2 linked regions of the Caenorhabditis elegans genome follow. The protein of the gene in region 1 purifies or fractionates together with the protein of each later gene. This does not show direct contact. Each region holds a gene or a part of one and is shown in the gene's direction. Other genes may lie near its edges. The genes, in order: mcm-7 and rnr-1.

Region 1 (5,219 bases):
TTTTTCAATTAAAATAATTTATTAATGGAAAAAAAATATTAAAAATAAGCACAAAAATGATAAAGGAATAGGAAAAAAACGAAGAAAAATTGAATATCGCTATCAAAATTCGAAAAATGTGTCTTTTTCCGAGAATCAAGCCCGTAAATCGACACAAGCGCTTCATTTAAAGAATTACTGTAGTTTTCTTTTTCGCTACGAGATATCTTGCGCGTCAAATATGTTGTGAAATACGCATTCTCAGAATTTCGTGATCTCTTAACGAACCTGGTCTTCTTAAAGTGCGGATTTGAAGCCACCTCGATGCCTTTCAGCGTATTTTCATGCATTTGCCGAATAAAATTCGGATCAGTTCTTCTAGCATTTGTAGGATCCACTATATCGCAGATTTTGTCTCTGATTTTCGTCACTTTATCGTCGCTTCCAAAATCGAAGCCTCGCATTGTGAACGGCTCTTCTCGGCGTTTTTCCTCCTTTGGTTTCGGAATTTCGCCAAGTTTGAAGCTGCTTTTCTCGCCAAGAAACGGTCGACTTTTGAGCTTCCGGGTGTCTTGTTTTTGTGAAAACGACACATCAACGGTTCTATCTTCGTCTTCATCAATTATTATCCCGTCTAGCTCGTCATCCAGACCATTTTGTTGAGAACGAGATTTGAATGGAGGCTGCTGCTGAGCTGAATCCGAAGGTGTCTCCACGACTATTTTTCGACGGGGTTTTCCGATAAAATACGGACTAATCCCATTGCGAGCAAGAGCCGTCGGTGGGTAAAGATCATCGTTATTTTCGCCGGTTTCGGGCCGTTTTCTCATTCCACTGGTCACATTGAGTTTTACCCGTTTTGGAGAATACATAATCTGAAAATAGTGTTTTTTGACCTGAAAACCCCCACAAAAAAATATTCAAAAAGACTGGGGTAACTTGAACAACTTAAAGGCAAAGGAATAATTGAGCTTAAAATTTATATCGTCTAATAAAATAAATCATAAACAATCGGAAGTGAGAGAAGAAAGGTATGGAATGTATCCAAATGGAATTATTCGAATACTGTTGTGCGATCATTTGTCTACTTTTGCTGCTTTCCATTTTCCCATGTGGTGATCTGAAAAATTCGTGTTAAAACTTGAATAATAAGGCGTATTTAATCACCTTGAGAGTTGCCTCTGGCTTCTTAACAGCGGCCTTTCCTCCGACTTGCTTGGTGCACTTGCGGGTGATCTCGGCAGCGATTTGCGAGTAACGCACGTAGTTGAGTCCAGCGGCTCTCCAGGCGACCATTTTCTGAAAAACATGAATAAAAAAGAAATATTGGAAAAAAGCGACTAATTTTGCACAAGAAAACAAAGAAAAACCGCAATTTTACTAATGAAATCTATCGATTTTAGCAATTAGAAAAGCTATTTTACAATTTGCGATTAAAAAACATTAATTTCATCTAAAAACAGCCAAAAATCAATGAAAAATCACAATTCTACTCTTGAAACAAAAAATGTGTCGTTTCTGCAGCAATTTATCGATTTTCGAAATTATAAAAGCTATTTTACAATTTGCGATTAAAATGTACATTAATCCCATCTAAAAACTAACAAAAAACCAAGAAAAACCACAATTTTACTGATGAGACAAAAAAAAACATTTTTTCTCAGAATTGCCTGTCGTTTCTGCAGCAATTTATCGATTTTAGCAATTATTTTACCAATTTTAATTAAAATAAACATTAATTCCATCTAAAAACAACCAAAAATCAATGAAAAAACGAACAATTTTCTTTAAAAACAGCTAAAAATGGCACAGTCCATGTCGGAAAAATATAAGTTAAAGGCGCATAGACTTTCGCACTCTGGTGGGTCTCGCAACGACATGAAGGAGGCAAACGCGCGAAATTCGAACGGACGACGCTGCCATCTGCCGCACATTCCTTCACTCTCTCGCTCATTTATTATCGGTTTTGTGCTACAAGAGCAGCTTTTTTCGCGATTTTTTCAGTTTTTCCAATTAAAAAATAAAATTTCCATCATTTCAGCCCGGCTCTATAATCCTATAATCTCACTCACCATGAAAACCACCACTTACAACACAGACTGGGCTGCCGAGAAGACGAAAATTCGCAGTTTCTTCGACGAATACTATGTGGACAATGAGGACGGATCTGGAAAGGTATTCCCGAATTTGGTGTATAAATGAGTATTTAAATTCAACTTTTAGGCATTCCCATATCGTGATCAAGTCTTTGAAATTGCTCGCCGCGACAAGCAGGCAATCGTTGTGAATGTTGACCATATTAAGGAATCTGATATTCCAGATGCTCTTGAACTCTCAGAAGCCATTACTTCCAATACAAAGAGATACGAAGTCCTGTTCAAGGACACAATTTCGGATATGATCCAGGACTATCTCGGAGACAAGCAAGCGCCAGTAATCGATGCTCTTGATGCCTACATGTTCCAGCGTCTTCATATGGATAGGAACGAGGGAGCCGCCAACGAGGAAGTTTCTCTTCAGGACAAACGCAAGAAATACCCACCACAGCTCCTTCAACGCTTCGAGGTCTACTTCACAACGGACGATGCCGCCCATGAAACGTGTGTCCGAAACATCAAAGCCACCGAGATCGGGCACTTGGTCTCCATGAAGGGAGTTGTTATCCGTGCGACCGAGGTGAAACCTTGTGTTGAAGTCATGACCTACACTTGCGATACTTGTGCCGCCGAAGTCTATCAGCCTGTGAAGGGAATGCAATTCACCCCACCGGTCAACTGTCCCAACAAGGAATGCGTTGAGGCAAAAGCCAACGGAAGACTTCACATGCAGCTTCGTGGATCGAAATTCGTCAAGTTCCAAGAGCTCAAAATTCAAGAGCTCAGCGAGCAAGTCCCAGTAGGATCGATTCCTCGCACAATGACTGTTCACGTTTACGGGGAGATGACGAGAAAGTGCAATACTGGAAATGTCGTGCATGTTTCTGGAGTATTCTTGCCAATTATGCAGTCTGGCTTCCGACCAACTGGAGGACTCGTTGCCGATACCTATTTGGAAGCTCACGTAAGTTAAAACTTGAAAATTATCAAATTATTCGTTACTCTTCAGTACATCAACAATCTTGACGACAACCCAACTTTCAATGGAGTTCAATCCGCCGAACTGGAAGTTCTCCGTCGCAAAGGAGACAACTACGAAACTCTTGCCGCCTCCATCGCTCCGGAAATTTTCGGCCACGTTGATGTTAAAAAGTGCCTTTTGATGGCTCTCGTTGGAGGAAATGACAACAGCTCGAACGGAATGAAAATTCGTGGATGCATCAACGTTCTGATGATGGGAGATCCAGGAGTTGCTAAATCTCAACTTCTCGGCTACGTGAACCGGTTGGCTCCACGATCTCAGTACACTACTGGTCGTGGTTCTTCTGGAGTTGGTCTCACGGCCGCTGTGATGAAGGATCCCGTCACTGGAGAGATGTCTCTCGAGGGTGGTGCCTTGGTGTTGGCCGACGGAGGAATTTGCTGCATTGACGAGTTCGATAAGATGATGGATCACGATAGAACTGCGATCCATGAAGTTATGGAGCAGCAGACCATCTCGATTGCCAAAGCTGGAATCATGACGACACTCAACGCTCGTACGGCTATCATCGCCGCTGCCAATCCAGCCTACGGAAGATATAACCCAAATCGTTCCATTGAGCAGAACGTTGATCTTCCAGCTGCACTTCTCTCCCGTTTCGATTTGATTCTTCTCATGCAGGACAAGGCTGATCGTGAGAACGACAAGATTCTCGCTGAGCACATCACATATGTTCATCAGCACGGTTGCCATCCAAATCGTGAGAAGAAGGATCTCATCTCGCTTGAGACACTTCGCGAGTACATTTCTCTTTGCAAGACGTATACTCCAACTGTCGATCCAGCTCTTCGAGAACGTATTGTCGAGGCATACGTTGAGATGCGCAGAGATGCTAGATATTCGTCCGATCCAACATTTGTGTCGCCAAGAATGATTCTAGGAATCGTCAGAATGGCGACAGCTCGTGCTAAGCTTCGTCTATCCACGATTGTCGACGAAAGTGACGTTGAAGAAGCTCTCCGTTTGATGCAATTCGCTAAGGACTCGCTCAGACCAGAACAGAACAAAATTGAGAAGTAAGTTTTCAGAAAATTATTTATAGCGAATATTTTAATCATAAAATTATTTTCTTTTCAGGCGCATGGCTCCAGTCGATGCTGCATTCGCCGTTCTTCGTGAGCTCTACCATGCCGACAACGCCCCGATCGCCATCTCAAACGCCATTCAAAGATGCGCTCGCAAGGGAATCAGCGAGGTTGCTCTCAAGAAATGCCTGGATCAATACACTGCTAACGGTCTCTTGGTCATGGATCGCCAGAACATTGTGTTCGCTATGAATTAAAATTAATTGTATAATTTCGACGAATTGCCTTTTTAATTTTCACCCCCTCCCACATTTAATCACACACTATCTAAATAACTATCGTAAGATTGTACTATGTTTGACAATTTTCACAATTTTTTCCTTCAACACATTCGTATTCTGATCTCAAATTTTTTTCGTTGTTTTTTTTTGTTTCGCCTTTACGGAGAATGATGCCGATGAGCATAATAAATTGATTATGGAATTAAATTTGGAATAGTTTATTTCAAATACACGTAGTTTTCAGTAGATTCTAACCCGTAAGTAGTCACCGATTTTAAAATAGTTATTTAATATTAATTACAAATTTCTTTTCCTCCGTAAGATCCGAATCACTTTCTTGCGATTTTCTCGTGCCACGTCACTCGTTGGATCCAAGATCAGTGCGATTTCGTATTCTTTCAGAGCCAAATCGTACTTCTGATTAAGATGAAGAATTGCTCCGTAGTTGGCGTGAGCCGCATACGAATTCGGTTGAGCTTCCATCACTTTTCTGTAGAAAGTTTCAGATTCCACGTGGTTCTGAGTTTGTTGCAGAAGATTCGCGATTCCTTGCAGAGAGTCGAGATGAGTTGGATCCAGATGGAGAGCTTTTCGATAGAAGAGCAACGAGCGATTGTAGTTTTGCTGAAACGGATTTATTAATGATTTGTTTATTGTGGAGACGCAGAAAAATTCGCTTTTTAAATCGAGGTGAAAGCGCGCTCCAACGCCAAACTTTGGGTCTCGTTAGGTATTGGCGGGAAACTCAGAAATTCAAACATTTTGCCATTTTTAAATGTGTTCCGTTGTTTTTTTA
Region 2 (5,581 bases), on another chromosome or scaffold:
CTTCCCCAAGATTCCCAATGCCTTGTGTTAAATACTCTGCGTATATGTCTACGTCATCAAACATCTGCAGGCCCATTGAATCATTCAAATAATTTTCCACCACCACCCGTTGCCATACTTTTCACCCGACACCACAACCACTAACACCATTCCCTTGACCTCCTCCTGGTGTGACGTAGCGCACTGTTCAAAAGCAATGACCAACTGGTTGTTGGGTGCCTGTGACGTCAATTTGTGACGTAGGCAAGAATGGGGGTTACGGTAGATTGGGAAAATTTGAATGCTTATTTCAGGATGGTAGACTCTTCATCGACCGTGATTCTTCAGTATTTCCGGTTATTCTCAACTTTCTAAGAGATCATGAGAAATGTTCATTGCCAAAAGACGAATATCAGCTTATGCGAATCTTACGTGAAGCGGTGTAAGTTCGGAACAAATCAGAATATTGCAAAAAGTATAAATCATTATAGATTTTTCAAAATTGGACCACTTCGAAACATGATAGAACATAAGCTGCGAACATTTTGTACTTGCCCACCTGAACTTCCATCAACTCCAATACCGAACCAAATCTTGACCCAAAAAGAAAATGTTCCGATTGTCCCACGTAATCTTCTTCTTTCGAAACCACCTCCACCTCCACCACCACCACTTCCGTCATTGATGCAGCCGAAGGATACTGTACAAATTCCGATGAGAAAACCTCCAACTGGCAGAAATTCCAAAAAAATTAAAACGTCTGCAGATTCGATTAGTCTTCCAAGGAACTTTACGTGAGATTTGGATATCTTTTATCTATTAATTACTTACAAAAGTTTATTTTCAGACATATTGCACATGTTGGTTGGAATGGTGCATCGGTACTTTTTGATAAGAAAATGACTGATGATCCGACTGTGAGGAAAATCTGTGATGCTGCTGCAGAGGCAGTTGATCTTAGTGTGAGTAACTTTCTTGAAAATTAGTAGAATATCTATAGAATTATAAAATTAAAATTCATTTATCTATTTTCAGGCGGTATACAATGTTGTCAACAAAAATGCGGATGAGGAGAGCCATAGCGTGGAAGTGCTCATAACTGGAGGATTAATGCAGTCAAGAGATGGAACATCTCGTCACTAACCATTTGAATATATCTGTGTCAAAATAAATTATTTATGTCATGTCTTGCATGCCAACAGATACGCGTTTTTCGAATTTTCGAAAATTCGCAATCACAGCTGGTGGTTTTTTATTGTCTGAATTGACCGACAGCAAATTTTAGTGATCTCTGACAAAACATCAGAAAATAAAAAACTACGCTTTTTTGTCCGCAGTTTGAAAATTTAAGGAAAAACTGAATATAAATATTATTTCATCGAAACATGTTTTTTTCTTTAAAAAATTACCGTACTCTTTCAAAGGCGCACGCATAAAGTTTTTAAATACAATATTTCGTGTCGAGACCATTACAGTAACCCGCGGCAAAATTGTGTTTTACAGCTTTTATTTTCGGGGTTTCTTCTGATCTTATGCATTTTTATGTGGTTTTATTTTGAATTTTACGTTTTTTTTTAAATTTCAGAGCAATGAAATGCGATTATCGGACTTGTCCTAAAGGGCGGAGCCATGGTTAGAGGCGGTGCTTGTGGTGCCGAAGGGTATAAATAGATTTTTTCCTCACACAGAAAACTAAACACATTTTTTGTTTAAATGAAATTCTTCAGCTGTGAATTAATATTTCATTTCAAACTGCCGTAGTTAGAAATGCTCAGGACCGTGGATTTTCGGTTTGAATTTCTAGGCCAATTTTGTGTGTTTCGACATTAGCTCACTTCTATCAGAAAACCATATTGAAGCCAGAATTCGTAGGAAAATATAATGTATTCTGTTTCACTGTAATACTTGTTTTTTCTATGAGACCAAGATTTCAATAATTCGTTTTCCTTTTGAATTTGAATTCCGATGGAGCGCGTTTGTTTGGTCTGCGTCTCGTTTTCGCGCGTTCCTCTATTACCTAGGCGCGAAAACTAGTAAATTTGAGATGAACTGGTCATTTGAAAATTCTCTCCGCTCCTCCATTTTCACTCTTTTCTTCTCAAATTGTTAATAATTCATCTTTTCCAGTTATGCAACGTTACAACAGCACTTATGTTGTCAAGCGGGATGGGCGAAAGGAAGATGTACACTTCGACAAGATCACTTCCAGAATTCAGAAGCTGAGCTATGGATTGAACATGGATTTTGTCGATCCGGTTTGTTATTAAACACAAGTTCAATGATGAATTAAATTTTCCAGGTCGCTGTTGCAATCAAAGTTATCAGTGGCTTGTACAAAGGAGTGACAACTGTTGAGTTGGATAATCTTGCTGCAGAGACTGCTGCTTCCATGACCACACAACATCCGGAATATGCTCTTCTTGCCGCTCGAATCGCCGTTTCGAACTTGCACAAGAAAACGAATAAGGTGTTCTCGGAAGTTATGAAAACCCTTCACGAGTTCCATCATCCTCATACCGGAAAACACGCACCAATGATCAGTGATGAGACTTGGGCTATCATTGAGAAGAATGCTGATGTTAGTTTTCCTAGGAATTGCATTTATTCAAAAAAATTTCATTTCAGAAGCTGAATTCCGCCATCGTCTACGATCGTGACTATTCCTACACCTATTTCGGATTCAAAACACTGGAGCGTTCCTACCTTCTCAAGATAAACAAGGAGATTGTCGAGCGCCCACAGCAGATGTTGATGCGTGTTTCTATTGGAATCCATGGAGATGATATTACTTCCGCAATCGAGACCTATAATCTGATGTCGGAGCGTTACATGACCCATGCGTCCCCAACTCTCTTCAATTCGGGAACATGCCGTCCTCAGATGTCTTCATGCTTCCTTCTGACAATGAGTGAAGACTCCATTCTCGGAATCTACGATACATTGAAGCAGTGTGCTCTTATTTCAAAAAGTGCCGGAGGAATCGGACTCAATGTTCACAAAATTCGCGCCACTGGATCTGTGATCGCTGGAACTAATGGAACATCTAACGGACTCATACCAATGCTTCGTGTCTACAATAATACTGCTCGTTATGTTGATCAAGGAGGAAACAAACGCCCAGGAGCATTTGCTATTTACCTGGAGCCATGGCACGCCGATATCTTCGAGTTTGTATCTCTCCGCAAGAACACTGGACCGGAAGAGGAACGTGCCAGAGACCTGTTCCTTGCTCTTTGGATTCCAGATCTCTTTATGAAGCGAGTCGAGAAGGATCAAGAATGGTCGTTGATGTGCCCATGTGAATGTCCAGGACTTGATGATTGCTGGGGAGAGGAGTTCGAAGCTCTTTACGCCAAGTAAGTATCTCCTGGTTCTTATTTTTTTAATTACCGAAGTGCGATATCCAGACAGAACTTTAAGAGTACTGCTTGGACTGAGTTTACTAACTTCGAATATGAAATAGTTGATCGATAACCGGAATATACTCAAAAAAAAAGGTGTGCTCCGGACAAAAATCAACTAACAAAAACTTTTAAACAGTGAAGTTAAATTTGCAAAGTTCATATCAAAATTTCCAGATACGAAGCCGAGGGACGAGTCCGCAAAACGGTGAAGGCCCGCAAGCTCTGGGAGCACATCGTTTCCAACCAAATCGAGACCGGGCTTCCATACATCACCTACAAAGATGCCGCCAATCGCAAGTCTAACCAGCAAAATCTTGGAACTATCAAGTGTTCCAACTTGTGCACTGAAATCATAGAGTACTCTGCTCCAGATGAGATTGCAGTTTGCAACCTTGCTTCCATTGCTCTCAATCGCTACGTGACCCCCGAGAAAAAGTTCGACTTCGTCAAACTGGCTGAGGTGACTAAAGTTATAACCAGAAATTTGAATAAGATTATTGACGTCAACTACTATCCAGTCGAGGAGGCTCGCAACTCTAATATGCGCCATCGCCCAATCGGGCTTGGTGTCCAAGGACTCGCTGATTGCTTCATGTTGATGCGTTACCCATTCACTTCGGCAGAAGCCAGAGATCTCAACAAACGAATCTTCGAAACCATCTACTACGCTGCATTGGAAGCCAGTTGTGAATTGGCTGAGTTGAATGGACCATACTCGACATACGAAGGATCTCCAGTATCGAAAGGACAGCTTCAATTTGATATGTGGGGAGTCACTCCAACCGATCAATGCGATTGGGCCACTCTTCGCAAGAAAATTGCAAAGTAAGATTAAAATACTCTTTCGAATCTGATTAAACTACTTATTTACAGGCATGGTATCCGCAACAGTCTTCTGATGGCTCCAATGCCAACTGCTTCCACTGCTCAAATTCTCGGAAACAATGAATCCATCGAGCCATACACTTCGAACATCTACTCTCGCCGTGTTCTTTCTGGAGATTTCCAGATTGTGAATCCTCACATGCTCAAGGATTTGGTGGAAAGAGGATTGTGGACTGATGAGATGAAGAATCGTCTGATTGCCAACAATGGATCCATTCAAAACATTGATGGAATTCCATCCGACATCAAGGAACTTTATCGCACAGTGTGGGAGATCTCTCAAAAAGACATTATTGAGATGGCTGCTGATCGTGGAGCATACATTGATCAATCCCAATCTCTTAACATTCACATGGCCAAGCCAAGCTACGCCGGTATCACATCAATGCATTTCTACGGATGGAAGAAGGGACTCAAGACTGGAATGTACTATTTGCGTACCAAGCCAGCTGTCAATGCAGTTCAATTCACTGTGGATAAGAATGCGCTGAAAACTAACCAACAAGCTGAGACGCCAGCCACCGTGGCCGAGTCGCAAGATGAAGGATGCCTCATGTGCTCCGGATAATCATTTTTTCTTTCACCCGTTGATCATGTTTGTACATTCCCAAATTGCTCACTTTTTCACTTTAATCTGTTATACTGATAACCCTATTTTGCTCGCGGTTACTCATTTTTTCTAAAGTTTTAATGGTCAATAAACTGACAATCTGAGTCCTCGAGCGATTTGAATTGCAGGAGCTGAAAAATGTGGAACCGTGTTAGGTTTACATCCGAAACTTCGGAAGTTTTCCTCTTCTCATGCTCTAGTAGTTTTTTTCCTAAATACTCTCTCAGCAACATCATGGTGCAACAAAAGTGGGTCTCGACTGAAGGTGTACGTGGGTAATGTTTAGTGAACCGTCAATCGAGCAGATTTCAAATGCGCCCTTTCGATTCTCTTTTCGTGTGCTCAATGAGCCGGAATAGAAACATTGAACTATGCGTAGAGCTCCTCTCGTCAGATGGGCCCCCGGTTCTTAGCGAGATTAGCTTGATTCTTGGTTTTTTTGCTCATTGCTCTTTTTTTCAAATAAACTACTACTCGTTTCCTCCCTGTCTCGTCATTGGAAGCTGTTCATCGTCTCTTTTGTCTTTTTTTGGGTTCTTTTTCCGTTTTTGCTCATTTCGACTTCAAAACGATTGATGACTTTGTTTCGGTTTGGCTTTTTTGGCTCAGAAGAGCACTCAGAGAAGCTATGAGACACACGAAATGATGAAGATGATGATGCTTCTGTCGGAACTTTTGTGATTCTTTTTTTTTTGGAACTTTT

The links.
Region 2: the proteins of mcm-7 (region 1) and rnr-1 fractionate together in Caenorhabditis elegans (co-fractionation; one large-scale study listed by BioGRID). This does not show direct contact.

Annotation. Positions count from the first base shown.
Region 1 is NC_003283.11:4,345,146-4,350,364, forward strand, and holds mcm-7 (DNA replication licensing factor MCM7), read left to right. Parts: upstream 1-2,020; 5' UTR 2,021-2,052; coding exon 2,053-2,154; intron 2,155-2,202; coding exon 2,203-3,039; intron 3,040-3,084; coding exon 3,085-4,133; intron 4,134-4,194; coding exon 4,195-4,399; 3' UTR 4,400-4,623; downstream 4,624-5,219. Other genes in the region: figl-1 (Fidgetin-like protein 1), read right to left, coding at 268-851; hpo-18 (ATP synthase subunit epsilon, mitochondrial), read right to left, coding at 1,064-1,099, 1,147-1,275; F32D1.3 (dolichyl-phosphate-mannose--protein mannosyltransferase), read right to left, coding at 4,721-5,047.
Region 2 is NC_003281.10:9,224,776-9,230,356, reverse strand, and holds rnr-1 (Ribonucleoside-diphosphate reductase large subunit), read left to right. Parts: upstream 1-2,106; 5' UTR 2,107-2,108; coding exon 2,109-2,234; intron 2,235-2,278; coding exon 2,279-2,557; intron 2,558-2,604; coding exon 2,605-3,335; intron 3,336-3,382; exon of another isoform or gene 3,383-3,507; intron 3,508-3,557; coding exon 3,558-4,208; intron 4,209-4,256; coding exon 4,257-4,836; 3' UTR 4,837-4,982; downstream 4,983-5,581. Other genes in the region: T23G5.3 (uncharacterized protein), read left to right, coding at 294-421, 471-773, 827-941, 1,015-1,122. UniProt on the Caenorhabditis elegans protein: Provides the precursors necessary for DNA synthesis. Catalyzes the biosynthesis of deoxyribonucleotides from the corresponding ribonucleotides.